Drosophila melanogaster: one gene and its partner. The protein of the gene in region 1 interacts with the protein of each later gene in a pairwise test. Each region holds a gene or a part of one and is shown on either strand. Other genes may lie near its edges.

Region 1 (16,201 bases):
ATTTTGGCCAAATGCAGTAAGCAGGCCAAAATGCCGCGATCCCGCTTTTTGACTATCGCGAGTGGAATGGATGAAGGGCAGAGCGGTGGAGCGCAGGAGCTGCAGTTGCAGGTCGGCGCATCTTGGCAAATGTCAGATGCAAATGCGAAAAGCCAAGCCAAGTCTGTGTGGCACCTGCTAACTCTTGCACTTTTCGCTTGGCCATTTCTTTGGCCAGCTAGCAGACGGTGTCAGTCATAATTAATACGCTTAGCTTGAGTAACTTAGTCGCGCTGGAAGGAAGGGAACTTCTTTGGTTCTTTGGTGTTTTACGGTGGCTTCATTAAAAAGCCATTAGTGGGAGATGAATTTCGCCGCCTATCATCCGCCGCCACCCTTGGCAACTTTCTAATTGGAAACTTTTCCTATGGAGAGCATAAATTTTAGCAATGTTTGTTCGGTTTCCGATACAATCAAAGACAAGAGCCAGAGTGCCGAGTGTTGAGTGTGTCAAACAATTTAGTTGCCTTTCGGTACCAAAAGGCAAGTTTTGCGTGGGAAATGCCGTCGATCGTCACGATCAAAAACGGCGAAGGGGAAACTTCACCGTCAACTTGAGGTACATGGAAAATGCAAAGTTGATTTTATCGTCGACTCTAACTCGGTCTTTGGCTCTGTGTTACTGTCCTGGCCTAAACTGATTTGCCACTTGACAAATGAGTTGACTGCCACATGTGCAATTTGGAAAACAATCCACCCACTTTAGATCTTCCCCGATAGCTCCCCTTACTCCCTCTCTTTTCCAGCAATTTTCCGAACGAGCCAATTTTCCCCCCATGTCAGACGAAAATGCAAAGGAAAACAGAGCGAAGCTAAACAAAAGAAATTCTACCGCTTTTGACTTTGACAATTTGCGCATTGATTTAGAAAATAGCTCTTCCATTGAATTGGAGCACTCTCCATATGAAAATGACGTGAAAACCAGAGGTGGAAAGTGCATCTGGGATGGGGTCAGTTGAGGCTCCAAATACTCTTAAAAAAAAGCTGTTGGCAACTAAGTAAAATAATTATAAAAGAGCATAAGAGTTGGCTTTCTTTAACTATTTTCTCAGTTTATAGATGGAACTTAAAGTTCTTATTATTCCAATTTAAAGTAAGCTCTTGCCCCAGTTCGTTGAGCTCTAAATAGTAAAGGGTATGCATAATGCAGGGTATGAAGAGAAAAATTGCTCCGCAATTGAAGCTATCAAAAAGGAGCTTGGCCAGTTAACCCAAGACAGCGAGTTGGACTCAAAAACGAAGCAGTGGCAAAGCGCAACCAAATTTCCGTTTCGGTAGTTTTTCTCTTTTTTTTATTTTTTATTATTTGTTTTTTTTTTTGCTGTGAGGATGGGGACTGGGTGCAGGAAAAAAGTCATCATAGCCTGACCTTCATTGTTGAGTTGCTTCTAACATTTAAATTTGTTTTGCTTTTCCATTATTTTCGGGCTCTGTTGTGCTGCTTTTGTTTTGGCTTCTTTTCGATTTCAACAGAAAACGTGCCAAATTTGGCTGCCAGTTGGACGTTCCCCCCCCCCCCCCCCCCAAAAAAAATTTAATACAGTTCAGCTGGGTTGGGCATTGGCTTTGGCTGTAGCTTTGACCTGGTCTCCGTTCCAGGGGCTATGGTCTTTTGTCTGGCCACAAGCTCTTGACACACATCCAGACATTCGGTAGTGTCGGCCTTATCGGGCTCTTATCAGCTGGTTGAAAATTGTTAGAGAAGCCAAAGGCATTTCGAATCGGGCTATGAATTCAGTCGGACGCAGCTTCTCCCGGTGAAATGTGGCTTCTCTGGTTTATTCTCCACCTAATTGGCCTCATCCAAGGGCGTTCTGTGGGCGGTGGGTCTGTAAACTTGGATGACGAGGTTAGTTTTGCCCTTTAAGTTTTGCTTTATTTGTTACATTTTTGTATTTCTCCCTATAGTTTTTCATGCCTCAGCCAGATCCCACAATATTTGCCTACAATCAAACTGATAAGGGATCATCACCCTGGGACAATACCTGGAACTGAATACTTGTAAAAAAAAAAGTGACTTGTAATTGTAATAAATTTATTTTATTTAATAAAAATTATGTAGCTTCTGAAGTGCCCTAAAACCTGAAGGTATACACTCCACCGGCTCCCCACTGAGGCCGGCTGTTGCCATAGGGTCCACCAAGGTGCTGGGCATACGATCCCGTGGCATCGAAGGAGTGGCGTCCATTGGGGCTCTGCCAAACGGGAGCACGTCCGTTGAGGCTCAGATCGAATCCTTGCTTTGGGCTTCCACCGCCACCGCCATTCAATTGGAACTGGCGACGCACTCTGTGCAGGGGCACATCAAAATTGGGAGCATACTAGAAAAATACTCTATTAAACTGTGCTCCAAGTGAAAAGTTTCATAAAAACTTACTGCCAGTGGTTCAGGCTGCAGATTCACAATCTCTCGGGGATCAGGATAGGGATAAGCCCAGGCACTCGAGAAGGCACAAGCCAGTCCAATGAATAGAAGACTAGCGGTGAAATGCATTTTGATTTGATTAGGCTTTGTCAACTGAATGCGGCTAGAGTCGAACTCAGGTCTTATATAGCTCGGATCTGTGTCTTATCAGTACTCGCAGATGAGATTCCCCAATTGGGAATCCCTGTCAAGACGACGGTGCAGTGGTTCACCAGTGGATCCCCACATTTCGTTGATAAGAGGTACGTGTAGGCTCCTCAAATAGAGGCAGATGCCAAAGTGAATCCCATCTAGAAACAATGAATGTAGAGGTACTCGCATTTCGATTGGGATCCATTCATGTGTGGCAGCTGTGAAAATAATATATGTATATTAACTACTACAAGCTAATTCTATTTCAGATTCTTAGGCTAACATTAATTCTTTCTAAATTAATTCTTTCTAATAAAAAAGAGCATTATACGAAGAGTTATATTTCTTTTATGCATTCTAGTTAAGATGCAAATCTATGTTTTATCATTTTAACACCAACTTTCTTTCTGGTAACCTGAGTTTTATGCATATATAATACATTTTCATTCAACATATATTCTATTTTTAATCATCTCCAATTTCGTGTTTTCTATTAGTAAGAATATCGGATGTTACTTTCGCCAAAATTTGATTTCCTCCCAAGCAAAATTACCTTACAGGTTCCGCAGACCCAAGCAGAATTTAGTTTCCCAAATCGATTCATCATTTTACAAGGTCAACTCAATTTGGCCATTCTTAGCTGGAATTAATGATGTGAAAAGCTTTGGTAATCCCCAAATTTGGTTGTAAAAGAGTTTAGAATACAGCCTCTGCACGAATCATTTTTCAAATACTCGAAGCGAATCTTATTCGCTTTCGTTGGGGATGGCGTAATATTTTAATCTTCGGGTTAGGCTGCGGATGTTGCGCATGATAAATTTCCATCGAAGGTTCTCTCGACAGTTTACGCAATAAATCCAATTAGCAAAAAACATTTTGTCTTGGCAGGTTTCATTAAGACCGCCTGTCATCGTAATTTGTTATTACCCAACGGAGTTGGCCAAACAAGATGTATCAACAATTAGCCAAACTGCAAGATCATCTGTGACCCACCAGCCTCTGTCTCTAGAAGTCTGCCTCAATGTTCCGGGTTAAACAAACAACGCCAAGGACATTGATGGCATTTGAGATAGTGAAATTATGGTCAGGTATGCATATCGTTGTATTCGGTTATATATTTTGCAATTATCTGAATATACAAAGTGGGTATGGTTTTTATAATAGCTAGACTCGGATACCAATCGAGATAATATTTGGTGAAGTTTTTTACAATAAAATATTTATGAAGCTTAGAAATTCGGAAATCTGTAGGTGTAGGTGCTTCCCACTTTCCAGCTCGGTTCTGAGTTGCCATATGGTCCTCCCAAGTGCTGTCCATATCCTCCATTCAGTCCAATCTCGTGGCGTCCATTGTCGCTGGTCCACACCTTCTGGTGACCCTGGACTGCAAAGCCAAAACCATCGCCGCTCTGGCCACCGCCGCCTCCCTGAAGATTGAGTGGGTACTGCGGTGGTGGAGTGGGCTTCATGGTCATGTCGTCGGGCATCGGATAAGCCAAAGTAGAAGCGATTGCGCAGCAAAGTAAGGCGACGGCAATGGTGAACTGCATCTCAGTTGTTCTCAATTGAAGAACTGGAATATGCTGACTGATACCTTTGCTGCAGTTTCGATGCTCTTTTATAGGCCGCTTTCCAAAAGGAATCCCCGATGTCACCTTATCTACTCAGAAAGTATACCTACGGCGGTTATTGTCTCATAATTAGAACCCAAGATTGATTACCGGTCATAAAAAAGGAATCCCCGATGCAAAAACAAATACCACCAGGGGATCTTTCTTAAACGAGGACTCACACCTTATTTTCATTTGACAAACAAGAGGTTAAATACTTATTAAATGATAAAATTTGTAACCTCTTATTCCACGAAGTTTTTAAATATGTATCTTAAGAACAATATCCCAACCTCCCAGCTTATTATTAACAATTAAAACATTAATGATTTCCCTTCGAAAATAAACGAAAGTTCATCCTTTTCCCAGTTCCACGGATTAATTTTAAAACCTCTCCGCGGCGACAGACAAAGAGCGATGTATGTTTGTATGCAGGCAAACAAAAAAAAAAACAAATATAAATATTTAATAAGTGATAATTGATTAAAAGCAGAGGTTGAGCAAACGTAAAAACAGTTTCCCATCAGCAGTTGAGTGCCGAGGCAGCCGAGAGAAATGTTGTTACAATCGATATTAATGAAAATATTGGCCGTTTTTTTGGTCTGCTGGGTGAGTGCGGCAAAGGAAAAATATACAATTAATCCGAAAATAAAAAAATATAAAAAAAAATATATATGCATATTTACTTTACAGCTGGGACACGTCACAGCCCAGTCATCTGCCGATTATATAGAGCTTGAAATTGGTTCAAGGGGTGAAGGTCCACCGGAAAAGACGGAATTTCCCTGGGGCAATGATGACCAGGATCTTGAAGCAACATTTTAAGTTTCTTAAGATTTTTTAAATTCTATAAATTGCATCATATACATCTCTGTTAAATATATTATAAAGAGAATCCAAGTCTTATCAGTAAAGTTACTTGTTATAACCAAAATTATACTATACTTTTGGGCCCATAGAAAAATAACTTACTCTTGTATGACTTAGTCTTAATTTAATTTAGTCAGTTATAATATATAAACCACCTATTGTTTGTCAAAACTGGCTTTATATAAAAGTAAACTCTTTCTACTCATGTATTAAATTATATCTTACTACTTTATAAATATATTCTATATCAATACCCATAATTCCCATTTTTAAATGAATGAACCTCCAAACATATTTTGTATACAGGGACCAAAATAATTACAATTTTTTACAACATTTTCTAAACTACTCAAAGTAATAACTCAGCACTACCAAAACAAGACTGACATGTGTTACTGTTGAAACACACTATTAGATGCCTCGAAAAAGATTTTTGAAAATTCTAAAAACTTACCAGCTAATGGCCAAACTGGGAGACAGACACACGGAAAAGTTAGGCTAATGAAAATTCCGTAAATAAGACATGTTCTTTTCTTCTAAAATGAAAACTAATTAATATACCGCCAGGATTTTATATTCTTAAACTTCACCTCATCTAATGCAAAGCATAGTAGAATCGAAGATACTATCTGACATAGCATTACGACAGTGATTCCCATAACAACATCTTTGTCAATAGTTCCGGCAAAAGTGTGATATTTGAACTGACGTCTCTGGTGATCAAATGGATAATTTACTGAGGGAAAAATATAAACATTAGCTGGCAAAACGTGTACTAACTGACCATAGCAATCCAGAATGTAGGCGTAGAAACCGAAACCACTCATTAAGTTCCACGAAGCCAGAGTTGCGATGACAAACCAACGTTGATTTGATCGATCTGGCATAGTGTACCTGCGTTTTTGTTCATAAAAAATGTATTTTTTTTTTTTAGTAGGTAAAATATGCTGAATAACTTTTCCAGGCCCGCCCCAATGGAAATCAATTTAGCGTCAGGTTCAATGGACTTTTACGACAAGTGCGTGTCAGCTGGATGAAAAACTAATTGCGACCATTAAGGCCACGCCCCCTCTTCGAGGGCGAGGCGGTTGCCAATGGCAGCGGCGTTGGTGCCAAACTTTGGCCGTAACTGGAGCACTCAATAAAATGTGAATTAGCCCGGCGGAGCCGGCATTAATGGTCCGCGATTCGGGTCCGCAATAGGAACCTCTCCATTTCCCCGGAAGGTGGCAGCTTTGACACGCTTCCAAGTATCAATGCGATTGTTTTTGCGGCACGCGAACAAACTTTAGTCTTATTTTTGTATGTTTTTCAACTGCAGTGCATCGAAAGGTAGTGAATTTGAGTCCTTTGACTGCGGCACGGTAATTGCGTTAATTTCGCTCGAATTACGTTTCCCATCATTGTTTCTGCCACGGCGAACCAACCACGCCCCCATTTGGCTGTCTTGCATGTTTGGCGGCACTTTTGTGGTTTTTTTTATCGAGTCTCCTTGCCCCTTGAGTCCTTCGATATAGTTGCATGTCGACAGCATTATTGGTGCCCTTACAATTTATGCGAATTATCCCCTACCTTTTATGCACCCAGAAATAGAAATGTGTAAAATTTAGACAAAATATTACCAAGTCTATGCATATATTTGCGATGGGTTTCTATTTTACAATTTTTATCTAATATTTTCAGTGTACAATGTCGCCTGCTAACCTCTCGCAGTTCACTGCCTCTATTAACTTGGCTTCATGGTCTTCGAGCACTAACATTCTTCTACAACATCGACGATGTCATTATCCTCCATGGCCAAGGAGTCAAATGTGTCCTCCTCCTGGATTTTCTCACCATCGAAGGCCAGGATCAGAGACTCAGTAGCAACTCCAAATGCCTGGGCATATTTTTGCCTAAGAAGTGCGGCCAAAGGTTGATCCGTTCTCACATGGCACCGCAGTTTAGGTAGATTTGAGGATAGAAGCCAAATGGTTTTGCTTTGATTGGCCATTCTATTTTACATTAGAATTACTAGGAGTGTATTTAGATAGTGATAGGTGCCACGTGGCCTTCTGATCGGCCGACTTCATTTCATTCATTTTTTGGAGCCACATCATCAGTGGCAGAAGGGCTGAGATTTATGATCAGTTGCCGGCGTAGCGCTTACCAATAAATAAGTTCGATAAGATAGTGGTGGCGAATAAGTAGCTGGGACTATTCTCAAGTCACCATCGCACTTGTCTCATATGGTACACACGTATGGGTCACCCTATCTCGCTCGGAAATCAATGGGCTATTCAAGGTGCAGACGCGGGCAAGTAACACAGTACCAGGCAGACTAACCGCAATGCACCTTGGGGCTAAGTCTATTATAAAATGCTGGAAATAGAAAATAATGAAAAAAAATATATATACTTCCTAAATACCCTTTGGTTAGGGAATTGGTATTCCTAAATACCCTTAGATAGGCAAGCTATCTAACTATCTAATTATATATTATAAGTACAAAAGTACAAAAAGTATAAAAGTATTATAAAGTACAAAAATTTCATTATAAAGTGCAAAGCTTTAACCACATTTAAATATATTTATACTTTATACTTAATTTCCCAAGCCCATTAACCTTTGAGCTGCGAGCAGACCATTATAACCAAGATCAAGCAAAGATCAATTTGACAGATCATATTGTGAACCACTGTGCACGATAGCCAGCGCTATCTAAACGAATTTATAAATATTATACGAACATATACTATAACGGCGACAGCGAATTTCGATAGAGCTTTGCGAGACAATTCGGGGAATGAGTATATGCGCCGGCAGTCAGTTCTTAAGCGGCTTTCTGGTTGCACGGTCGTGTTTATTCCGAATTCGGGTTAGGAATCACAAACCATTATCTCTTCTGGGAGGTGTACGAGGTGGCTAATTTAAATTCATAACGAGGGGGAGCTAATTGCGCCTGTGGCCAGAATGAAGTGCCTGATAGTGTTTGGTCTGATTGTGGCCCTGTTTGGTGCCTTCGTGGGCTATGGCTACGTGGTATTCACGGAACTGACCAAGCCCCTGCCCAAGCCGGAGTTCAAGGATGATACGTACTGGGGTCCCGGCGATGCCAAGGACTTTGTGCCCGACGAAAAGATCTACGAGTTTAAGCTGCAGGTGCCGCAATCGGAGATCGATGATCTGCGAAAGGAACTCAACCGCACGCTGAGACTAACCGAACCGCTGGACGGAATCGCCTTTGAATACGGATTCAACACCTATGCACTGGAGCAGTTTGTGGACTACTGGCGGGACAATTACCTGACCAAGTGGGATGAGCGCCAGGAGCTGTTCAACTCGTTCAAGCAGTACAAGACCGAAATTCAGGGGTGGGTACGAGTGCTTTTGTATAACATGGATGCCATGCTAAAAACGTAATACCTCCGCAGCTTGAATATTCACTATATCCACGAAAAGGTATCCGAGGAGGCTAAGGAAAAGAAACACGTATATCCTCTGCTCCTGCTCCACGGCTGGCCAGGATCGGTGCGCGAGTTCTTCGACTTTATACCCATGCTAACCAAGCACTCAAACATCACGGATTACGCTTTTGAGGTCGTGGCACCATCCCTGGTGGGCTACGGATGGTCCGATGTGAGTGTTATTTGTTTTTCAGTTGAATTTCTTCATTTTAATTATTATTATTATTATTATAACTTAAGGCTGCCACGCGTCCCGGATTTAATGCCGCTGAAATGGCCACTGTGATGCGTAACCTGATGCTGCGTCTGGGCCACAAGAAGTTCTTCATCCAAGGCGGAGATTGGGGCAGCATCATTGGCAGCAACTTGGCCACCTTGTATCCAGAGAACGTAATCGGTTACCACTCGAACATGTGCGTTCTGCACACGCCACTGGCCATTCTGAAGGGAATCTACGGCAGCTTCTTCCCGGAGAAGTACTTGCCGTCCAGATTCTTTGTGGATCATCACTTCCCCGTGTGGGAAAAATGGCTGGAGCTGCTGGAGGAAAGCGGTTACTTTCACATCCAGGCCACCAAGCCGGATACGATTGGAGCGGCTCTGACCTCCAGTCCCGTCGGCTTGGCCTCCTATATCCTCGAGAAATTCCAGACCTGCACAAATCCCGGCCTGAAGCAGGACTTTGGCGCCATAGTCACTGTCTTCGGCCTGGAGGCTGTGCTGGACAACCTGATGGTCTACTATCTGACGAACTCGGCCACGACAGCGGCTCGTTTCTACCTGGAGAACGTGTCCAAGACGTACAGGGATCTCCAGCTGGATCGTGTGCAGTCCCCGGTTCCCATGGGCTGTGCCCGCTTCCGGTTCGATCTGGCCTCGGTGACTGACTGGCAGCTGAGGGACAAGTTCCCCAACCTGACCCACTCGATGTACTTCCAGCAGGGCAGCCACTTTGCCGCCCTGGAGATGCCGGCCATGTTGTTCAATGATTTTACCGCCTTTGTGGGAAAAATTGGCCTACACGGCGAGAAGAGAAAATAAATTGTTTTAAGTATAATTACCAAACGGATTTTGTACTTTCGCTTGGGAATCGGGAGGCACATGAGATAGCTATTAAATTGGCAAGGCGACAAAAGGTCAACGTATTTTAAGTACGGTTTTGCAGTAAGGTGGTTGGGACCACCTCAGTACCACCATAACGTGGTTACATAATATTTAACAAATGTGGAAGGGAAATAGAAGGGGGTAAGACAAAATCTTTTTTAATTACATTACAATAAAACTAATAACTATAAATAGTAGGTATGGTTAAGAAGTAATTGCTTGTAATCCATGTTTGTAATTGACCGCAAACTAAAAAAATATTATTGATTCTTTATTTATATATATGTATATATGTATATTTATATATATACAGTCATGGTCAAAATTATTTTCACAAAGTGCATTTTTGTGCATGGGTCACAAACAGTTGCTTGTGCAGCAAGTGGGGGGAGGTGAAATGCAAAAAAACTTTTGCTTTTGCAAATTCAAACCTATGCAGAGTCAGATGAAAGAAGAATTGAAAAAATAACTGTTCCTATGCGCAAGGAAGAGGCAAATGAAGAGATCTTTATCAGTTGTCAGAAGTATTTGCACACGGTTTCGTCGCATCACAATTATTTTCACAACGCAATTTCTTCTTCAGTGATTGGTTTAGAGTGACAAGTGCCGGTTTGTTTGCTTAAATACATTTAAATTATTGAATAAAAATTAGATTTAATCATTTTCCTATTACAGTTATTAAATAAAATGCCCAAAACAAAAGAGTTAACAGTTGAGGCCCGGGCTGGTATTGTTGCTAGGTTTAAAGCCGGTACACCTGCGGCCAAAATAGCTGAAATATATCAAATTTCGCGTAGAACTGTCTACTACTTAATAAAAAAGCTTGATACAGTTGGCACATTAAAAAATAAAAAAAGATCAGGCCGAAAACCTGTGCTGGACCAAAGGCAATGCAGGCAAATACTTGGAGTTGTGGCGAAGAATCCTAGTGCCAGTCCGGTAAAAATTGCCTTAGAATCAAAAAATACAATTGGCAAACAAGTTAGTAGTTCTACAATTCGTCGCAGGCTAAAAGAAGCTGATTTTAAGACATACGTTGTTCGCAAAACGATTGAGATCACACCAACCAACAAAACAAAACGTCTTCGATTTGCGTTGGAATATGTTAAGAAGCCTCTTGACTTTTGGTTTAATATTTTATGGACTGATGAGTCTGCATTTCAGTACCAGGGGTCATACAGCAAGCATTTTATGCATTTGAAAAATAATCAAAAGCATTTGGCAGCCCAGCCAACCAATAGATTTGGTGGGGGCACAGTCATGTTTTGGGGATGTCTTTCCTATTATGGATTCGGAGACTTGGTACCGATAGAAGGAACTTTAAATCAGAACGGATACCTTCTTATCTTAAACAACCATGCTTTTACGTCTGGAAATAGACTTTTTCCAACTACTGAATGGATTCTTCAGCAGGACAATGCTCCATGCCATAAGGGTAGGATACCAACAAAATTTTTAAACGACCTTAATCTGGCGGTTCTTCCGTGGCCCCCCCAAAGCCCAGACCTTAATATCATTGAAAACGTTTGGGCTTTTATTAAAAACTAACGAACTATTGATAAAAATAGAAAACGAGAGGGAGCCATCATTGTAATAGCGGAGATTTGGTCCAAATTGACATTAGAATTTGCACAAACTTTGGTAAGGTCAATACCAAAAAGACTTCAAGCAGTTATTGATGCCAAAGGTGGTGTTACAAAATATTAGTATTGTATTTATATAAAATAAAAAAAATTCTTATGTTGAAATTAGATGTTAAGCTGAAATTTACTAAATTAAGTTGAGTGAAAATACTTTTGAAGCGCAATAAACATGTGAAAATACTATTGACAACTTGCATGCATATTTTCTTTTGCTTTAAGCTTTGTACTATGAACCGTTATCTTTCGTATTTCTTTTCGACTACCTTCTGCATAGATCAAGCTAAGCGATAAGAACTATTTCAGGCAAATCGGACAACAACAAGAAGAAATATAACAAAAAGAAGTTGAAGTTTGCAAATATTGTGCGTTGTGAAAATACTTTTGACCACCTCTGTATATATTAAGGGCTCCGCGTGTTGGTAATTCGAGTTCTTAATCATTATTAATTAATTAAATCAGTATTTAGTTAAATGTCATATAACAATTTCATTTTAAGCATGAATCGTTTCTTGTTCACTTTACTTTCGTGGATTGATAAATGGAACTGCTTGATCATCTTCCTAAACTAAATGTAAATTTTAAGTACAAAAATTGCTCTCACTCAATTTGTTGCCAAAAGCTCGCCGAAATTCTCAAATTATTTGTCCAATCATGCTCGCATTGCATTGCCGTGTGGAATACGATCCACTTGAAATCCACAAGCCAACAAAAAGCTTTTGTTTGCCGGTAGCTTGCGCTTTACAAATCATTTGTGCTCGACGATCGTAAGCGAGGAGTTGCGCAGTTCGCCGATCTGTGTATATAGAATATATAAAGAATATAGCATAAACACACAATGGCGAACATCTGGCCACGAATCTTGGTCGGAGCTCTGACCATCCTGGTGGCCGTTGGCTATAAGAACTATCGCGATCTCTCGGCGCCCGGCAAGAGACCCGATCTGGACAACAACGCCTACTGGGGTCCAACATTGAAGGAACCTTATCGGGAGAACAAGGCCATCCTACCCTTCGACATCAGCGTAAAGCCAGAGGTAAATAAATATACATACACAAATGCATATATACAAATGCAAAATATCAAATCAGTATGATATGCAATCAAAGCTATGAATGTATAGTATATGTAAATATTTCGAATCATGCTGGTATGCAAGTATCATTAATTATACAGAATTTATGGTAATTTGTACAAATTCATACTATTTAAAGTTATATTTGATTTAATAATTTAATTTAAGTTATATAATTTTTTTAATATCCTTCATCACTTCTTATCAAAGGTTATTGAGGATCTAATCGGTCAGCTGAGTCGTCCTTTGAAAGCGCAGGCGCCACTGGAGGGTGTGGGTTTCCAATACGGATTCAATGCCAACGAACTGGCCAAGGTGGTGAAATACTGGCGCGATACATATCTGCCCAAATGGAGCGAACGGGAGGAGTACCTCAAGAAGCTGGATCACTACCAAACGGAAATTCAGGGGTGAGTGCGACAGAACTTATGGAAAACCGAAGTGTTCCACGCTTAATTAGTCGCCTGCTTTTGCAAATTAACATGAAAAGTTAACCCCAAATGTTTTTCCATTTTTTTGCAGTTTAAAAATTCATTTTATTCATGCCAAGCCAAGCCAGGTGAAAGGCCAAAAGCCCAAGAAGGTGCTGCCTCTGCTTCTGATGCACGGATGGCCGGGAACCGTTCGCGAATTCTACGACTTCATCCCTCTCCTGACCACGCCCAGTGACAAGAGCGACTACGTCTTCGAGGTTATTGCACCCAGTCTGCCCGGCTACGGATGGTCTCAGGTTAGATTTGTTTCCAAAGGGACAACAATAAATTGCTAACCAAGTAATGCTATATTCTCCAAAAGCCGTAAGCCATAGAACTTATCTCTTACTATGGCATTAATATATAGCACTTAGGTAGACAAGTTATTACACAACCTTCTCCAAATTACAAATTGAAAAATGACTAATTTTATATTTTTCCAACTCCAGGGCTCTTCAAAAACTGGATTCGGTGTGGCGCAAGTGGCGGTGGTGATGCGCAACCTGATGCTCCGAGTGGGATTCGATAAGTTTCTGGTGCAGGGTGGCGATTGGGGTTCCATAATTGGATCCAATGTAGCCTCACTTTTTCCGGAAAACGTGCTGGGCTATCATTCTAATATGTGCGGAAATAACAGCCCTATGGGTCAGTTGAAGATGGTGCTGGCCTCCTTTTTCCCCAGCTGGTTTGTGGACAGCGAGTATGCGGACTTCTACAAGGGACTCGGTCACTTGTTTAGCACCATAATGGAGGAGATGGGCTATGCCCACATTCAGGCCTCCAAGCCAGACACCATCGGCAATGCTTTGATCGACAATCCAACTGGTCTGGCTAGCTATATTCTGGAGAAGTTCTCCACATGGACGAATACGGCATTTAGATCGCTTCCTGACGGTGGTCTGACCAAGAGATTTACCTACGATCAGCTTCTGGACAATGTGATGATCTATTATGTGACCAACTCCATTACCACCTCCATGCGTCTGTATTCCGAATCAATGGTTGCCTCGCAGTTTGCACTGGCCGTGGACTCCGTGCCCATCAAGGCCAAGGCTGGCTGCACCCGTTTCGCCCATGAGATCACACATTTCTCCGACTCGGTTTTGGCCAACAAGTTCCCCAATCTGGTGCACAGTACCCACCACCGGGATGGAGGTCACTTTCCCGCTTTTGAGCTGCCCCAGCAGCTGTACGACGACTTTGTGTCTTTTGTCCAGAAAGCCAATTTCTCATAAAACAAAATTGTTTATCATTAGTTATAGAAGTCCATTGTACATTTTCATCGTGATTCTTGAAAGAAACGGTTATGTTTGTTGCAAAAATTAAATCAAATCGACTTGGTGATTGTATTTGCCTTATCTGCTTTGAAAACCGAAAGTTGAAGAGTTTTTTGTTTGGAATACACGAGTGGCGAGCAAAAGGGCAGTGTGTGGTGTTTGCTTTCATAAGTATATGTACATATATGATATATCTAAGCTCGGAACGATGTTACGTAACTTATTCCCATGGGCTATAGTCGACATTGGTGTACCCTTTATAAGAAATCATGTAATATGTTGAATTATTACTTAACTAAATGACAGTAGAGTGATATTAAACCAAATGAACATCAAATTTTACTTGGCAACAAAGATCTCACACATGTTCAGTCTACCCCAGTGTAGTTCGAAAATAAGGGGTATTTTTTAGCTAACCTGGTAGCCCAGCTGCGTCGCAAAATATACAAAAACAATTCGCGGGTCTCATTCTTTATACATATAGTACATACATACATACATACCCCTCCGGTCTTTACCCGTAAAAGCTTCAAACCAAAAACCGGCATGTAAGCTTTGTTGAGTAAATAAACAAACAAGCCGATTCATTCGAGTCATCCCCGATGTGGAAAGCCGCTACTCCGTCTCAGTGGAGTCGAGTCCAAAGTAAACCCGCGATAAGCCCCAACTGATCGGCGTAGGGTGGTCACTCAAAGTCGCTTATCATCATGAGCGTCGAAAACGAGAGCTGCGCCCACGATGATATGGTAGAATCAGTGGAATCGTAGCTGCTATCCGAGACAGTCTGAGTGGAACCGCTGATAGGAACAGATGGGTGTCACTGTTAAAATTCTGGTCTTGATACTGGCCATTGCCGGTGGGCTGGTCTATAGGAATGTGACCCAACTATGGGCGGACTTGCCCGCACCAAAGTTGGATCCCCAGGAGTGGTGGGGCGATGAGGCGCAGCCCAAGGATTACGAGGCCTATTTGAAGAACAATTCGGAGGTGATAGGCAATAGGCTTAGTTATCCGGATAAGGTAAGTGGGGGTCTATCCATTATTATGTACTATATACTAACTCATACCATGTGCAGACCATTGCTGATTTGAAAGAGCGTCTCAATCGCACCCTGCGCCTTACGCCTCCGCTCGAGGGCGTGGCTTTTGAGTACGGATTCAATACGAATTACCTTAAGGAGGTCGTGGAGTACTGGCGCGATGACTACCTGCCGCGTTGGCGCGAACGCGAGGTGTTCCTTTGGCAGTTCAATCACTTCACCACCGATATTCAGGGGTAAGATAAGGTGCCCACTTATCATATGCACAGATAGTAACGATGGGGTTTTAGGCTACGCACACACTTCCTCCACCTGATGGTTTATGATGACAACAAAGTGGGTAAGAAACACTATCCGGTGTTGCTGCTCCACGGATGGCCGGGATCGGTGCGGGAGTTTTACGATTTCATACATTTGCTGCATCAGACCAATCTGGACAATAATAACAAGTACATCTTTAACGTCGTGGTTCCGAGTTTACCAGGTTATGGCTGGTCACAGGTGGGTTTTGTCCAATCTACGTAGTGTATTATAGGCTTATCTGTCTCTTATCCTGCAGGGCACCTCCAGAAAAGGACTGGGTCCCGCTCAAGTGGCGGTGATGATGAGGAATCTTATGCTGCGTTTGGGATACAACAAATTCTTTATCCAGGGTGGAGACTGGGGCAGCATTATTGGCAGCAACATTGCCACCTTGTATCCGGAAAACGTGCTGGGCTACCACTCGAACATGTGCAACAATTTGAGTCCGAAGTCGCTGGCTAAGGGTTTAGTGGCCGAATTTTGGCCCAGTTTGTTTGTGCCCTCTGGCTTTGAAGATTTCTTCTTTCCCAAGTCTAACGAGATGAGATACCTAATGGAGGAGAGTGGCTACTTCCACATCCAGGCCACCAAACCGGACACCATCGGAGCCGCCCTCACCGATAACCCAGTGGGTCTGGCCGCCTACATTCTGGAGAAGTTCTCCACGTGGACAAATCCCAGCTACCGATCTCTGCCAGATGGAGGACTCACTAAGCGCTACAAAATGGATGCCCTGCTGGACAACCTGATGATCTACTACCTGACCA
Region 2 (16,979 bases), 5.3 Mb from region 1:
CATTAAGCGCGAAATGCGCCGAATCAACAAGTTGGACTCGCGCATCGATCTGGTGACCATATCGCAGGCGTACGTGTACTTCGAGAAGCTCATCCTGGCCAATCTGATTAACAAGAGCAACCGCAAGCTGTGCGCCGGCGCCTGTCTGCTGCTCAGCGCCAAGATGAATGACGTGAAGGGTGACGCACTCAAGAGCCTCATCGAGAAGACGGAGAGCGTGTTCCGGTTGAATCGCAAGGAGCTGATCTCGTCGGAGTTCGCTGTGCTTGTGGCTCTGGAGTTTAGCCTGCATGTAAACCGGCACGAGGTCCTGCCACACTATCAGCGGCTGCTCTACGAGTCCTAGGACTGGCCCAAGCGCTGCGCCGAGAAGAGTTTCCTGGCGGCAGCGCAGGCGGTACAGCAATTGTGTCGCAAGGGCAGTCGCAAGTAGGCGTTCGTACTTATAGCATACTTTCGGGTGTTGGGTTTTCAACGATCGTATTGATAATATTCACCACCCTCATGACCTCCCTAACCTGGTTTTGACCTAGAAAGTCTTAGTTTTAAAATTCATTAGAATAATCAAATAAATAATAATTACTATGTTATATCAACTATTATAATTCTCCCTATCATTTTTAGGATTAAAAATCTGTTAGTCTTAAGTAACCAAGACACATTGTAAAATAAAATAATTTAAGCAGATCAAATTAAGTTGCCGCATGGGTAACAGTGCGTTGATCAAATAATAAAAACATCATCGTAAAATAAAAAAAAAAAAAAAAAAAAAAAAAAAAATTGATAATATTGCCTAGGCTTAGGGCGTAGCTAAATAAGTTTTGCTAAAACAGTCACAAAACTACAAAAAAAAAAACAAAACAAATTAAAAAACTTAGAAAAAAAACAATTTACATATACGAGTATATCCCAAAATTACCTTCGTCCCTGATTCCTAGACTCCTAAGTGTTTATGTTTAAATATGTTTTCTTGGGTTTCTGTTATAGACATTTCAAAAATGAATAAACTAAAGTTAACCAAACGAAAACCACTTATGTATGCATTTGATAAGTTAAGCGCTTATCAGCATTCTGTGCCGCCGACTACTGTAGTTGTAATGTTAATTTTATTCAAATTTCCACTGGCGACGCGATCTCTGCCTGCTGCCGTTTTTCTGTTAGCCGCATGACCAAAGCCAGCTAATCCGCCCCGGCACACACGAAGATCCCACGTAGCAGACGCTAATCCCCCGCCCTTAAGCCACGTCGTTTGGATTCAAATTGGATGGGACTTGGTTGGCCCATCAATCAGAAATCAATAAATAACTGACGATCGATTATTTGCTAGCGCAACAGGCGCTCAGCGCCCAGCAACAGGTGGTCAGGTCAAAAAAGACAAAAAAAAAAATTCTCTCTTTCTCTATAAACAAATACGACCGGGCGATAACCCAAAAATACGGGCAACTCAAACGTGCTGGCAGGGTATTGGTAGTGTGGTGTTGGAGAGGGGAGTGGGGTAGTCGGCTCTGCGGGGGGTGTACATACGTGCCTGCACATCGCCTTTTGTTCAATTCGCTTGTTGTTGTAGTGTCTGTTAACTCTTTTGTGATAAGCCACAATGTTTTTGTAGCTGGCTGCCATTCGGGCGGCCAGCAAATGGGCAGAGGTGGCTGCCGCATGTAACGCAATGCAATCGCACTTAGCTTTTTGCCTTATCAGCAATATGGTTTTCGATTCTGGGGTTTCTCAATTGAGACTGGGAAATACCCTGCATATGAGGTTTACTCACTCTGATTTCCACCATGCACTTACTCTTTAATGCAATTCCCAATGATGGCATTTACTAATAAAACAAACGGTTCTGTAATTTTTTTTTATTTTTTTATACATATGTACATATGTACATACATATGTCATTATTTTGTATGTGTATATATGTTATAGAAGCTAAGAAATGTCTTGAAAGTAATACATTTCCTTGATATGTTTCCTTATTCCCTGTAAAATATTTGTTATACATACCATATATACATATATATTTATTATTTCTCAAAAGTTAAAAAAGTATTTGTTTCAGTGTAAAGATACATTCAACGAGCAGTTTTTTTAAATTTAAATTCCATGTAGCTGACAGCTGCATTTCGAGAAATACCATTAAAAAGTAATCTGAGCATCAGAAAAATGTAATTACGCCAAATTGGTTAGTCAGCTAAAAAGCTCATTAGCGAAATGGCGAAAGATGGAATCGCTCCGGAGCAGAGACATGGACATGGACATGGCGTATCCTGTACTCCCCCTCGCCCCCCTCACACTCACCGAACAAAAGTCCATGCGCCACGTCCGCCTGCCACATGAAGCTGCATAATGAAAGCGCTCAAAACTAATTAACGCGAAAGCCGAGGCGGAACAGAGGGCATCCACACAGATACCATCCCCAGCAACTGACACTACACCCAGCCACCCATCCAACCCAACCCAACCCAACCAACCCATCATCCACCCACCCCACCCCGGTTTCGCATTCTCTCTTTTGGGACAGCGAATGCTGCTCGATGGGTCTGTTCGCCTGACATTCAAGTCTACCGCTTGTCTAGGCCACCGGGTGTGGCAGGGGTGGGGATGGGGGTGGCGGTGTTGATACGGCTGGCTCAACCCCACCCCCGGCAACAACAATGCTGGTTTATTACTCATTAGCACGCACGACCGTCTGACGGCGGAAGCCAGAAGCCAGCAACAAAGGCAAACGTGCCAAACCAGAGCGACAGAAAGTTTTGCAGCAACTCTAGCTCATTTATTAAGAACAAACATGCACTGAGAACAAAACGTAGTTCAAATAAATATTTAGATCTAGGATTTTGAAGATTTTGTGTTTTGTGTTTTGCTTGTTATAACAAGCTAGTTTTCAAAATGGAAAAATATCATATAGCTAGATTTAAATTCATTGCAGTGCACAGGTGACTTCATTTTAATGAATAATCTTTGCTATATATACCTATTTTCTCACAGTGCTAACACACTCACACGCACGCACACGTTAATGAAACGTAACTTTTTCATTAAAGTTTCGCTTTCATTTATTAGAAATGCTTCTTGGCAACCCCGTCGCCTCCGCTCTCTCTATCAATCCCTGCGCCACCCCTGAAAACATCTGGGCCCTTATCTTTTGTGGCCAGGCTTTTGTGGCTCGTTAACAGTTGTTGTTGGTTAGTTAGTTAGTTGGCATTAGTTAAGTTCGCCAACCACCGATTGGATTGGAAAGTTCTCAGCAGCCACCGAACCATCCCGGCCACGTAAGGCTTCCGACGACCCCCAGAATTGAACTGAGGGACCGACTGGGCTAAGCGACCAATATTCCATTTGCTGCTGCTGCTGCTGCTTTTGCTGCCTGTCGACTGTCTGCGGTTTTCTGTGCGCCTGCTACTATGCGCCGAGTTAATTGGTTTGCAAACAAATTAACCAACGTGGGTGTGTACGTTTCCTAATTAGCAGCTTTTGTAATTAAATATGCCCGCAGCCATTCAGACCGAACGGTAGCGGGGTTGGGGTTTTTGGGGCTTTCGGGCTGGAGGGGCTTGGCCTATAACTATGCGTATGTATGTGTGTGTGTGTACGTACAATGGCATAACGGTTCATGAGGCGCACAGTGGCGCCACCAGCGGGGGCTAATTAGCACTAACAACATGACAACCCCCGTTGGATGACGCCTATGTCCAGTTTCAGGAGGGAGGCACACAACAGGATCGGTTGGTGGCCGGGGGTTAAGGGGGGTGGTGCCAGCACACTGACGTCCCAAATGAAAATGCATTTTAATTAGGGGTTTTTGTTGGGTTTTTGTTTCGAGTTGTTGTTGCCGCTGCTCGACTGCTTGCGGTTTCATTCATTAGTTGAATGGAGCCAGAGCAACTCGACAGGGTTGTCGAGCACGCCAAAAGGGATAGCTAGCTATAATTAATTAAAATTAAACCGTATTAATTGCTCATTAGCTAATTTTGTTATTTTTATTTATTTAAATTTGTGAATTATTTCTTGTTAGGTTTTCCAATATTCATACAAAAAAGGTTTAGCATTGTAAAAGCAAGACACGTTTTTATGCTTATATATATTTATTAGTTCGTATCTCTAAAATAAATCTTTACATTTGTCAGAATATTTTTCTAGTCTTGCCATCACGAGGACTTGACAACCCTGACGAGCCCAGACGATAAGCAATCCAAATGGGACATTGAAAAAGAAAAAAGCCTGGTCAGTGCGCGGAGGAGGTGGGTCCGCATATAGTGGAAGTTTTGATTGGGCCAAGAGAGATCGGGTCTAGGGGCTTTTTTCGGGCTTAAATGGATGCATAGCACCCACAAGTTTTGCGCTATTCATTAAAAACGCCGTTGTTGTAGTTGCTTTCGTTGTTGTTCAATTGAATTGGGGCCGGGAAAGCAGCCAGCAGGAGGAGAAAAAAAGGGTCCAATTAAAAAGCCACAACAATTAACGAGCCAAGTGAGTTAACTTGGCATAAGTGGAATTTTAATTGGCAACACGAGAGCGAGATGGAGATGCGGATTGGGATTGGGATTGGGATGTAGATGGCCAACGAGGCAGGAGCCGAGTGACTTGCCGAGTGCCGATAAGTGCCAAGGGAGTGGTACTGGAATCGGTGGTGGGGGCTAGTGGGGTACTATGGAATAGCGGGGGGAGGGGTGTATGGGGGATGGGGGAGCTCGTTATGGGTCTACACAGCCGACTGTCCCGGAGTAGTTAAGTAAATGAGCATTTTGTTCCACTAATGAACACTAATGAATATGCCAGAGACAGCACTTGGATTAAGCCCGGTTGGCACTGTGTATGCGTGTATATGTGTGTGTGTGTGTGTGTGTGTTTGGGGCCTTTTGTTGGTTCGGGGTTTTTGTGTTGTTAATTAATAAACACGAAGCCTGGGGACCATTGTGTGCATGTACATGTGTGTGTGTGTGTAACTAAGTGTTTGTCTGGTTGTGCGCTCAGTTTTCAAGGGGTTAAAATAAGCAATTAGTTGGATTTTCGAATAGGCGCTCAGCAAATGCGCAGACGACGACGAGGCCAGAAACATTGGAGGCCATTCTGCTCTTCCATCCCAGCCGAAATGAGAAAGTTTCAAACTGTTGCCGGCACTGCCGTCGCTGCTGCTGCTGGTGCTGCTACCTCTGCCGTCGCTGCTGCCGCTGCTGCTGCTGCTGCTGCTTCTAACGAGGCAGCGGCGCAGGAGTTGGCCGCAGGAGGTGGTGGCAGATAGCGGAGGGACACTAATTGTACGTGGAGGAGGAGGTGGACGTCGAGTCGCCGGCGAGGGAGTCCATGCCGCAGGTAAGCCAGCCACGCATCCAGCGGAAGAGATGGAGGAGGGAATGGAGGAGTATTGGAGGTGCAGAAGGTACACGGATAACAAAACTACAGCACCAAGATCCAAAAAGGTTTAGGATCGATTGATCCTGGTCGATGGTCTTCAATCTGTACATTAATAATAAACATATATTACAATTACAATTAAAATAAGCTATTGTTATTCTTTATTTGTGTTATGTAATCATGCAGTATGGGTTATTAGGTGGTAATTACAGTATAAAATTCTTTAAATATTTGTATAAAGTTAAATATTACTAAGAATGTTGGTAGTAGTAATATCGAAAGATTCTAATATTAAAACTATTAATATTTATTTAGAACATTAGATGAATATACAAATATTTACCAATTTAACGACTAATTACGCATACCTGTAAAGAAATTGACAAAAATTTTCTTTCGACATTTTGCATGTAACTATTTTGCAGTGCACTTTTCTATGTCGGAACAACCTTTCGTTGTTTGCCTGTGCGAAGCTTAATTGGCAAAACTGATGATGAGACTAGCAACTAGCCTGGACACGAACCCATGGCGAAAATGAATAATGGCCCGAACACTCATAACTTTGTTTTAATTAAGTTAGTTCGGATGCGAAAACGTCTAGACAGAATGCATACCGAAACTGGGAATACAAAATATTCAAAAGGTGCTATAATATATAAATAAGTAAAGCTAAATAAATATTTCTTATCTGATTATTTGCTGTACTTGGAAAGTAAATAAATTACCTTTAAAGGTTTGTAAAAATAATAAAATGCAAATTAATACATTTGCCCCATAAACGGGCAACAATATCTCAATTATTTTGCCGTACTTATAAGTGGGATTTATCTACACAAATAGATGGGCAAGACTCCAAAAATAAATATTCATACTACTAGAATGCGGCATAGATACGATACACATTCTAATTGCGATCCGCCCCCAGAAAAAGTCATATTCGCTGCCGGGTCGAATGAATGAATCACTTTAATCTGCTGGCAATCAAGATATACCTCTGTATTTTACATAAGACACCTATGACAGCTAGGCCACCATAACTCTGCTCCGAGGCTTCGGGCTCCGATCTGCCATTGAGCCGCCCCAGACGCGATGACTTTATATGGCCAAGCGCCGAGCGACGCGCCGTCGAAAGTGCGAACCTGCGGAGGAGGTGCACTGAGAGAAAATAAATATTGCAAGACGAAAATTACATTCTAACATATGTTGCAATAAATAATAAGCGACTAAACAGTTTTGAGATACAAAATAAGCTAGTAAGCATTTTATAATGTTATTTTTTTAGTTTTCGAAATATGTACAATAAATTGTTCTGCTGTCGGAGTTCCTAACTTTTCCTGAAAGGTCCGAGACAACAATATATGTACATATGAACGTAACTGAAAGTATTTAAAAAGTGCTTCTAAAAGAAAAGACTTCTTAGTCATGCAAAGACATTTACAAATTGTTTCTAGTAGAAATGTAGAAGTTTTTATCCTCTTTTTTTAACCTTTTCACCCGTTTGACATCGAACATTTTCTGCCAGTGTCTGAGTGTCTGAACCCGTTTGAAGCTGTCGGAAGAAATCGCGTTAAGATCCGCGCCCCTGACGTCAGCGATTCAAAATACGAGCAAAACAAATGGAAATCGCGGGGGTCGACTCTCTGCGGCAAATAACAATCATTTACATGACGAGTTTTGCGCTCAAACAAGGTGAAATCATATTTTAGAATAAGACCTGCTCGAATGCGACTCAATCGTGTTTGCAATCTCGTTGTGAATAGATCGAACTGTTGGAAAAGTAAAAACAAAAACAGAGTTCAAAAATGCCGCTGCGCAAGAAAGAGGACTACATACCCATTAAGTGCGAGGGCTGGAACGGCAAGTTCGTGTATCCGGATGGAGCTGTCAATAATGTGTCCAAGATACGTCGCCAGAACCAGAACGTAACCAATACCAACAACTTCTACGGATTCAACACGGAACCCATTGTCCTGCCCACCGAATGGGATGGCACCTTCGTGAAGAGTGGCGAGACCCGCATCAAACAGGAGCGCAATCGATCCGATGACCAGGACTACTTTGATTACAACACCGAGCCCACGGTACTGCCCACCACTTGGAGTGGCGAGTTCGTCAACGATCCCAACGATGTGCGCATTAAGCCGGAACGCAACTTCTCGGATGCCAGGGATTATGCAGAGGCATCCCGATTCAAACTGGTCCAGCACTGAGTGAGATCCCGATCCGCCCGTTTCAATCAAACTAATCCTGCAAATGTTGCGTTTGTTTCGGTTTCGCATTGTAATTGTCGCCTAACCTAAGCGTTTGTTGTATTTTATTTTTTATGATATTTATTCGTATACTTAATAAACCAAAAAAAAAAAACACTGAAATACTAGAAAGTTCCGTTCCGCAATCGCCTTGGTGGATTTGCAGTGGGCGGTGGCAATAATTAGTGGCCTTTTATGGACAATAATTCGATCAGGTTTGCAAAATCATTTAAATAGCAAGGTATATCGACATATTGTTAATCAGATATCCATTACAGCAAGTGAAAGTGCGAGAAAGAATTTTCAAACTTTTTATTGAGATTCGATTAAAATTTGCAAGCAAAATAATAAAACAAATAAGAAAAAGCGTTTTTAAAAATTGTTATTATAGTATTTGTTGAGATCAACAACAAATGGGGATTGCCTTTTATGAGGTGTATGGAAAACAGCATTTAGATTACAAATTACATATATGCATCATTCGCTGATAATACTCACATTCATTATGTCGCGATTAAGCCGTGTGACTTCCCACTGATTTGTCCATTGAAAATACAAACACTTTTAAATTATAAAATTTTGGAAAGCAAATTGAACATTCATTCAGGAACTCATTTTCGAAACTGCTCTACACTTTGAACAACCTTTTCGAGTTGAAAAAAACGCTGGTATTTCAAAGTTATCGCACAACTTATTAGGTTGTTAAAAAATACAATTTACGAAACAATTACAAATGTTCGCATAGTATTCACTTCCTGACCAGACCCAACAGAAGGAATGTTCTTGCCATTTTGTAATATGATATTTTGAACCATTCATACAAACTGTTTTTGTGTGAGTCCCCAATCAATAAAAACTTCCTTATTGACACACGTTGACGTTCCCATTAAATAACCTTGTTTAGAGCTTTAAGTTGGCACACGTAATTAATTTTTAACTTTTCGCCTATAAAAGGCCCCGATAAGAGAGGATAACCACACAAATTCTTAGGAACAACGGCCAAACCTTATGTAAACAATTCTTGAGTTGAAAAGTAAATGAAAGCCAATTAAATATAGAGGCGGATTTCGGAGCTTGCAAATAAAATTCATTATGGGGGAGCCGCAGCTGATACGACGACTTTTGCAGGGGAAGTACGTAGAGTGATAAGAAAGTAGAGAGTATATATAAACAGAGGCTTCCCAATCGTTCGGCACACAGTCAAGATGCAGAGCTTTCTGGGAGTAGCAATCATTCTGGCTCTTCTGAGCCTGGTGGCTAGCCAGGCGCAGAACAGCTCCCAGTCCATGGATCTCTATATACTCCAGAATCAGCGGCAATATGACGCGAAGATCAAACAGCTGGCAGATGAATTAGCCAATTTTAAGCAGCTATTTCAGAAGCAAATCAATGCGCTCGATGTGCAAGCAGATTCGATGCAGCTAAAATTGGAACAAGCCTCCGCTCACCTGGATCCCATTATCCTGATCGATTCCTGGAGCAAACAATGCGTACAGAACTATAGTGTTACTATACCAACGATCACCGTGGCCAGGGACTCCATTATCAAGTGTAAGGAAAGTATTAGTGGCATTTTAAATGCACCTGAGAGCACCTACAACACCCTGAATAACTACTATAAAAATAACGTGAAGAATGGTTTGGCACAATGCCTAAAACTTCATCCAACTGCCCAGTTAAATTACACACTCTGTGTAACCAAGGTGGTAAGTATTACAACTTTCTATATTATTAAGAGCAGAATCCTGAGACTTCTTTTTACACTTGCAGATTGGTGATGCCAATAAGTATACCATCACCACACAGAATACTTTCAATACCAACCTGAAGAGTTCGGAATGCACGGCTGATAATCGCATTAGGAACTCCTGGCAGTGCTCCTTTGGCCAGGTGTACTCTATTACCTCCAAAGTGGAACTGGCGCTGCAACTCATCGACTCCTGCATTTCCAATAAGGTGATCTGTGGATCCTTTGAAGAGCAATCGTGTCCGAATAAGTCATATGTTTCTCTGTCGGAGATCAATCCTCGCAACGATACCATCCGGAATCCCTTCAAGTTTGTAACCAATGCTATGAGCTGTGTAGAGGTCCTGATCAGCAGTTAAAGTATCCTTACATAAATCAAATTCATTCGAGTCAATGAAAATATTACAGCATTTATTAATTTGTATAGCTTTTGATGTTTAAATAAATATAAATACTATTACCAGCATTATAAATATGTACTTTGCTCTATAAAGTTTTGATAAGAAAACTTGAAGTGCTGTTTCCAGAAGCGAATTAATAAAAATATATAAACTAAGTAGATTATTAAGCAAAACCAAGATAAATAAGTACATATAGTTAAAAAGATTTTATAGCCTCTTTAATTAGCACCAAAAACTGCCAGCTGGGTAAACATTGTATTGTTTATGAAGATTATAAAGCGAATTCGTAGCACCACCTGCTCCATCCAAATTATAAAGCCTCGTGGTTTATTACTTGGTTTATCAATTTTGAAAAAAAAAGAAGTAAAAAAGGAAAGATGCCAGTTCCAACCAATTCACCAGGAGCACAGAATCATTTCAGTGGACTCTTGAGTACCAACGCAAAATAAGATGACAAACTGGATTTGGACCTTTTTCAGGTACCCGCACGAACCATTTCTGGAATTTGAGCCACTCAAAGGGACCGCTGCAACATTCCAAGCCTTAGAAATAATTCCTCGAATTTGGAGTCACATAAAACCAGAGATCGCTTTGTGTGTGGGTTTTCATTCTAACGTTTCCACATTCCCCGTCCCGATTCCACAATCTGGATGGCAGATGCGTGAGAACAATGATCGGCACAGGCTAAAGAAAATCGTGGTTGGTGTAGTCCCAAAATCATGAAAAGATCTCTTGACACGGGCTGACCGTGTGAAATATTAGAGATGCTTGGGAAACCTCGGAAAATATCTAACAGGCTGACAGTAAAATTAGCACGCCACTACGGGAAATCGAATGAAAATGTGATAGAGCAGGTAGCTAGCACATGTGGAAGCACTGGGAAAATTCGTGAGAATTTTCTGTCTTTGATCCTTTCATTGTTGGCCCTTTGGGACGTTATGGGAAAATGAATTTTCAGCGTGTGAAAATGTTCAAAATTGCTTATAATTTGTTAAGTTTTCGATCAGGAAATCAGAAACGAAAACAGCAGTTGCTGGAAAATCTGGAAATCTTCAAAGAACTGCAGGCAGGACTTGTTGCATAAGAAGAAAATCAAACTATTCTGATCCTTGATCTTTTAAAGATCGTGAGAATTCTTAAAATTTGAAGACACCCCTGAAGAATCATGTAATAGGCCCACAGCAATTTCGGTAGCATTTTAAGAAGAAAAGCCGAAGAATTCTACCTGCACGCGGCATGGGAAAGTGCAGCTGAAATCTTTTCGAAAAAGAAGACCTCCCACATAAAAAGAATCATAAAAAAGCGGGATGCCCTAAGAATTTGAAGATGCAGCTGGTGAAGCTGTGGGAAAATGCAATCTATACATCTGTCCCGATCGTGTGAATTTTCCAAAATTGTTGTGTAAATGGAAAACTCTTCTACCAGGGCATCAGCGAAAATGGTAGCATTACCACAGAGTTTTCCCAAAAGAATCTCTACCTGTTGCTCGAGTCTGGAAAATGCAGCTGAAAATGCAGCACGGTACAAAGGAGCACCCTTTTTCCAAGAAACCTGTTGATTTCACATGGAAACCTTACGTCCTTTGTTTAAAAAACGGTCTTTCTACAAATTAAGATCTATTCAGTTGCAACCACTGCAGCTGTGGGAAAATGTTCATCTGCTTTTGGTCCACCAACCGTGTGAATTTTCCGGTCCAGATGTTTACAATGTAAACATTGCCACCAGGCAAACAGGAAAAACAGCAGAACGTGCCACTGAGTTTTTCCGAAGAGAGATCGACCTTATACCTGCTGAAGGGTCCTGGGAACCAGCAGATGTTACGAATCACACGATGATACGACTTTTCCTGCAACCTGTTGCATGGGAATAAAAATAAATGCATTTTAAATACATTTGTAATGCAGCCTGGACAGATGTGGGAAAATGCATCTGCCGGTCGTGTGAAAATTGCAGCTTAATCAAGAAAAATCAATATTCATGCACCAGGCAAACATAAAAAACAGCAGCACACTCCAGAGAGTTTTTCCGAAGGAATGTTACCTGAAGTGGAGTCCTGGGAAAGTGAAGATGGATTAAGCCACACGAAAATGCATTTGACCTGTTGCTTTGGAAAATAATCAAACATTTTACGTAGTTTAAAAGGTTGTTGGGAAAATTTGTTTACTTAACCGTGTGAAAATTCAAGATATTCGGAAAAAATTAATTAAATAATACCAGGCGAACATACAAATTTGTAGGATGCTTGCTATTTATAGTTTTCCGAAAAGGAGTCTACCTAAGAACGAGTCCTGGGAAAATGTAAGTGGCACGGAGCACACGATGTTACATTCCTGCTGCCTTTTGTTTGGAAAACCGTGGAAAATCTGTCGATGGTGATCAATTCTCATGTTTCGTGTGACCTTACATGGCTCAGGCCAAACAAATAGTTTTTTAAAGGAATGTTACCTGAGTCCTGGAAAAATTGTGATATTTAATTTTCATCCTAAAACCTGTTGCATGGGAAAATAAAAGACGATCGTTTATTTTTTTCCTATGCAGATTGTAAACCTACTATAGTCTGATCGTGTGAAAAATTGTATAAATTTAAAAAAATCAATATTCATTCACCAGGCAAACATAAAAACCTACAGGACTCTCAACACAATTTAGAACGCGTCTTGCATACAAGATATTGGAAAATGTGCATAGTTAAAGCAAATAGTTATAGCATACTTTTCAACTGTATCAATTTAAAAATTTAATCAGCAAAATTGAAATTTGAAAGACCAAGCGAACATAAATATATGCAACACAATGGAAATTGACTTCCGAGGAAAACTCTGACTTCCATTCCTTGGAAAATTTTGATTTCGAGCGTGTATGAAATTAAAGAATATTTAACCCCTTAACGAAAATCCTACCAGGATAACAGAATTAGCAAAAGGTGCAAGCAAAATAATGTTTAAAACAAACCAAGGCGAGCTATAAATATTTCATGGGAAAATCGTATATCTTCCATTATGGGAACAAACTTTAAGTGGTGGTGGTGGCTAACAATTTTCCAGCAGGATAACAGAAATGACAGCACGCACCCTAAACCGCAATTTAAAATCAGTCCCAACTAATTTCTAAGAACAGGCCAAGGAATTACCACTTGTAGGATTGAGAAAAGATCGCTTCCTTAGGAAACATTGATCATCAACCGGAAGTGATATGGCTCACACTTCAAATTACATTTCCGTTTTTTAGTTAATTGAAACTAAGATCCGTAAAATTCAACAAGATTTAAGAAGAGCAACAGGCAATGATCTGTAAAAAAGGATCCTGGGAAAAAATCTTTAGAAATTAGTTGTTTAATATGTAAAATATGTTGTGGGAAAATTGCTCCCAAAATATGTTGTGGGAAAATTGCTCAAGTGACTGTAAGATTAGGGATTTTCTAACAGGACTACAGGACAGTTGATAAGTGTCCATAAAGGTTTCCCAGGCTGAAAACGTATTCTATGCCAAGCGGAAAAACATATGCCATTTGGAGGGATCACCTGCAGGACTACGGCAGCGGAATCATAATCTTAGGGTACGCCTATTTTCAACCGGAAATTATCTTTGTTTACACTAAAGGTCATTTCCACAATGGGAATAATTGATTGCATCAACACAAGAAAACTTGTTAAAAAAAAAGGAACCGGAACATCTTTAAATAGCACACTCTACCAAGACTGAATTTTCCTGGGAAAATTAAAGAACGTGGGAAACGTATCCCGGTGGTGGTTATATCTGTGGATTCTCTAACAGGAATGCAGGAAACTGGCACGTGTTTTAAAATGATTATACTCATGACCTAAATCTGGTGAAATATTTGCCGGATGGCATGTTAAAGAACACATGCAGGATAACGGAAGTAGGAAATGGCTTTTGTAACCACTTGAAACCCAATTTTTCAAACAGGAAATCGATTTCTGATCTTACGGATTCCATTTCCTGTACCAGCTTCCGTTTCTTTTGCAAAATAAACATTGATTATTTGACATACAATATGTGGGTTCTTTTTTATGACACGTTTTTTTTCACATCTTTTTATGCGGCCTTTTTCTTGGAACTCCACATGCCACATGCTAAGATTTTTTGGGATAGGCGTGAGAACGAAATCGGCTTAATTAGTCGGTTTCTACTAGGCAAACAGCATCCGTAAGGCAATGAACAGATTTCGACATTCACGATGATGGTCACATGATACGCGAAACCTTAGGATATCTTTGATCTTTTTATGGATTCCTTTGGGTTCGTTTGGCCCGCATGTTCTCCGATTCCACGAAGGCGTGAGAATGCGGGCTATTTATGGAATACTAATTAGTTTTCTGAATCATCAGGCAAGCAGCGAGCAGCAGTTGGTTAGGATTCCTTCAGGGAGTCCTTGTTCTTCCAACGAACTTTATATGCAAATTGGATTAAAGCATCATCGCTTCAATTAAATCGGATACCAGGCAAACAGTTTCGCCAGAAAGCGGATCTCACCTTTCCAGGATTAGCTACCGCCGTCTTACCTTTGGGTAGTGCAAAACTACCACCAAACTATTGAGCTACGGAGAAGTTATTCCTTCTCTTTCTCCTTTCCTAAGACGTTTGCAACCCTCGTAATTTGGACTGCCTTGAAAAATACGTCTTGTCCTTACCAGGAAGACAGAAAAAGCAGGAGGAGCGAAGATTACGCAACAACACCTTATAAATGAGGGTTGAACTGCTTTCATTCATAAGAAAATAAGAAGTCGTGCCAAGTCTTGGCTTCCATTAGGGGAACAGCAGATTCATACGTTTCCCAAAGAGCATCTTCAACTGGATTGAATCCAAAAGAGGGTTGAAACTGTCACCTTCTATAAGCGGCTTTCAGCAAACCAAAGACAACCAATTTTAAGAGCATATTCAACAAATACCTCGAAGATCTTTCAGCTAATGTGGGCATAATCCTTTCGCTGCAGGTAAAATTCCTTGCCTCGAGCGTGAGAATTTCAATCAATATTTGTTGGTCTAGCAACAGGCGACCAGCAAAAAGTGCCAGCATCCCTGCCTTTCCCATATCTTCATTTTCTCTTTTTTACGCACAGAGCGTGTGAACGAAGACCCACAAAAAACGAGAAAGAACGTTGCACTGGAATGAGATACCGACTATCAGTTACCGAGTTCTAATCGTGAATTACAAAATATTAATCGTACGCCTTAAGGAAGAAATTGTACGAGTATAATTGTAGAATATCTTATTCTTAAAACAAAAATTGTATTAAAATATAGATTGAAAAATAGCAGAACTTACAGGATCCTACACCTGCTCACCACCCATATACCCCTGCATTTTAATAATACTGGGTACTCCACGAAAGCGAAACCCCGAAAACCAACAAAAACGAGAGTCGAGGATCGCGTGGGAATAAATGCCGCAACGACAGGCAGAGAGAGAAGGAAAGCAAAGGAAAGGAATGTAACGTATTTTTTCCCACAGCTCCTGCAGATAGGCATCTCCCTGTGGGACTGCGACTCTCCGCACCACTCTCCATAAAATTATATGCAGAGGCCTAAATTAGTTGTTAATTGTTTCCCTGTCCCTTTTTTTCGCTTTGGCATGTGCTCGCGTGAGAACTCCGAATCGAGGTATTGGAAAAAGGATCAGGAGCGCAGAAGAATATGATGGTTGCGTCCACTTTCCAGCGGTGTTGCCGCTCTACTCCACTCCACATTGGTCGCAGTTGCTCTTAACGAGATCCTCGATCGTTACGTTAAGCGGATGTGGACTCTGTGGAACGGCTGTGTGTGTGTGTGAGTGTGAGTGAGTGTTTGCGGAGGGCTTTAAGGTCTGTTTGGTTGGCTGGTCGCGGTTCGCTGTGTCAACATCGTGTGGGAAATTCTTGGCCATTATCCGTTACAAAAACGAATGTTCTCTGCCGAGATCGAGTGATCGTGAGAACTGTTTATGCTCAAGCGAAGATCTCGAGCAGGAAAACAGAAAGTCAGCAGAGGTTTAGATGAAACCGACTTAAGGCACAAGTTAGGCAAATTAATACAAAACTTTCGCTGGGAACTACAAAGGTTGTAACCAAAGTTACAACATTTTGTGCTGCGCAAGTAACTAAAATATATTATATTATACACCAGTTTTACGGAAAGAAACTTTAAAAGTTATACTTTTATAATTTATATAATTGTGTTAAAAGTTATACTATTATAATTTATATAATTGTGTTATTGACATATTCTTTTATATATGGTGCGGGTTGTGGGCTGCGAGTACGACCATGTCAAGTATATATATATATTCTTGATCAGGGTCACTAGCCAAGTCGGTCTGGCCATGTCCATCACTGCGGTTTATAACAGCTAGAAGGACTTAGAAGGCTTAAGCATTCTCTCTTGTTAACAATTAATTTGTGCATAATTCAAATATTTGTATTATTCAAGTTAAATCAAAATCCGGTTGTGGACTTTTTTCTCAAAAAGTGTGTGTTGTGCTATTCTCTTCTTTCAAATCTCAGACTAAACTATAAACGCCCAAGTATATCAGTATATTTCATAAGTCTTGAAAAAAATGCATTCCAATTCGACCGCATCATTAAGTAATTCAATTACGCACAAGCCAGCAATCATTTTCCCCTCCCAGCTCGAAATCAAATTCAACTTCAACCAACCACCGGCAATAAGCGAACTGAAAGAAACACGAGTTCCAAAAACATCTTCTCGTCGTTCTACAAACTCTGTTTTCCTGTTCGGTCCCAAGACATTTACAAGCATCAAATTTCAGACAAAAGGAGCTCGAAGACCTTAAGAAAGTGTGGCACGTGCCACAGAGTTTCAACCCCGCAGTGTGAGTAGTACCTTCCACATACATATGTACAACTCTCCAATCATCAACCAGTTGCTTGCTAGGCTACCCTGCGTTCCTGTCCCTTTGACAGCCAATTAGCGATCATCAGCCAAGATTATCAACTGGAAAATTATAGGGTCTCAAAAATGGCCCGCGGCAAAGGAAACGCCCCTCGGCCGCACTCTACTCTTCATATGGATCGACATGAAACGCGATCGTGGTGTGTGGTAAGTACAAGTACAAACATACATGTGTTTAAGCGACTTAATGAACCCTGATGTTTGTCACGATAATTTCATGTTTTTCACTAGGCTCACAGCGACGAAAGGAGGGAGTCTACGCAGTGCTGCCAGCCGCCTACCAAAGACCCGCATAATGGTCTTCGACACGCATCGAATTAC

Evidence for each region.
Region 2: the proteins of Jheh3 (region 1) and CG42807 interact in a two-hybrid assay, tested with the Drosophila melanogaster proteins (one large-scale study listed by BioGRID).

What each region holds. Positions count from the first base shown.
Region 1 is NT_033778.4:18,853,754-18,869,954, reverse strand, and holds Jheh3 (juvenile hormone epoxide hydrolase 3), read left to right. Parts: upstream 1-7,876; 5' UTR 7,877-8,028; coding exon 8,029-8,429; intron 8,430-8,489; coding exon 8,490-8,694; exon of another isoform or gene 8,695-8,762; coding exon 8,763-9,563; 3' UTR 9,564-9,580; downstream 9,581-16,201. Other genes in the region: CG43109 (uncharacterized protein), read left to right, coding at 1,802-1,888, 1,948-2,034; DptB (diptericin B), read right to left, coding at 2,115-2,360, 2,417-2,533; DptA (diptericin A), read right to left, coding at 3,826-4,146; CG43071 (uncharacterized protein), read left to right, coding at 4,762-4,815, 4,900-5,031; CG43070 (uncharacterized protein), read right to left, coding at 5,422-5,471, 5,531-5,612, 5,667-5,812, 5,861-5,963; CG43069 (uncharacterized protein), read right to left, coding at 6,830-7,069; Jheh2 (juvenile hormone epoxide hydrolase 2), read left to right, coding at 12,105-12,302, 12,552-12,751, 12,864-13,071, 13,264-14,049; Jheh1 (juvenile hormone epoxide hydrolase 1), read left to right, coding at 14,902-15,111, 15,168-15,367, 15,422-15,632, 15,691-16,201.
Region 2 is NT_033778.4:13,564,358-13,581,336, reverse strand, and holds CG42807 (uncharacterized protein), read left to right. Parts: upstream 1-8,577; 5' UTR 8,578-8,806; coding exon 8,807-9,307; intron 9,308-9,371; coding exon 9,372-9,707; 3' UTR 9,708-10,742; downstream 10,743-16,979. Other genes in the region: CG6191 (uncharacterized protein), read left to right, coding at 1-346; CG42808 (uncharacterized protein), read left to right, coding at 7,155-7,562.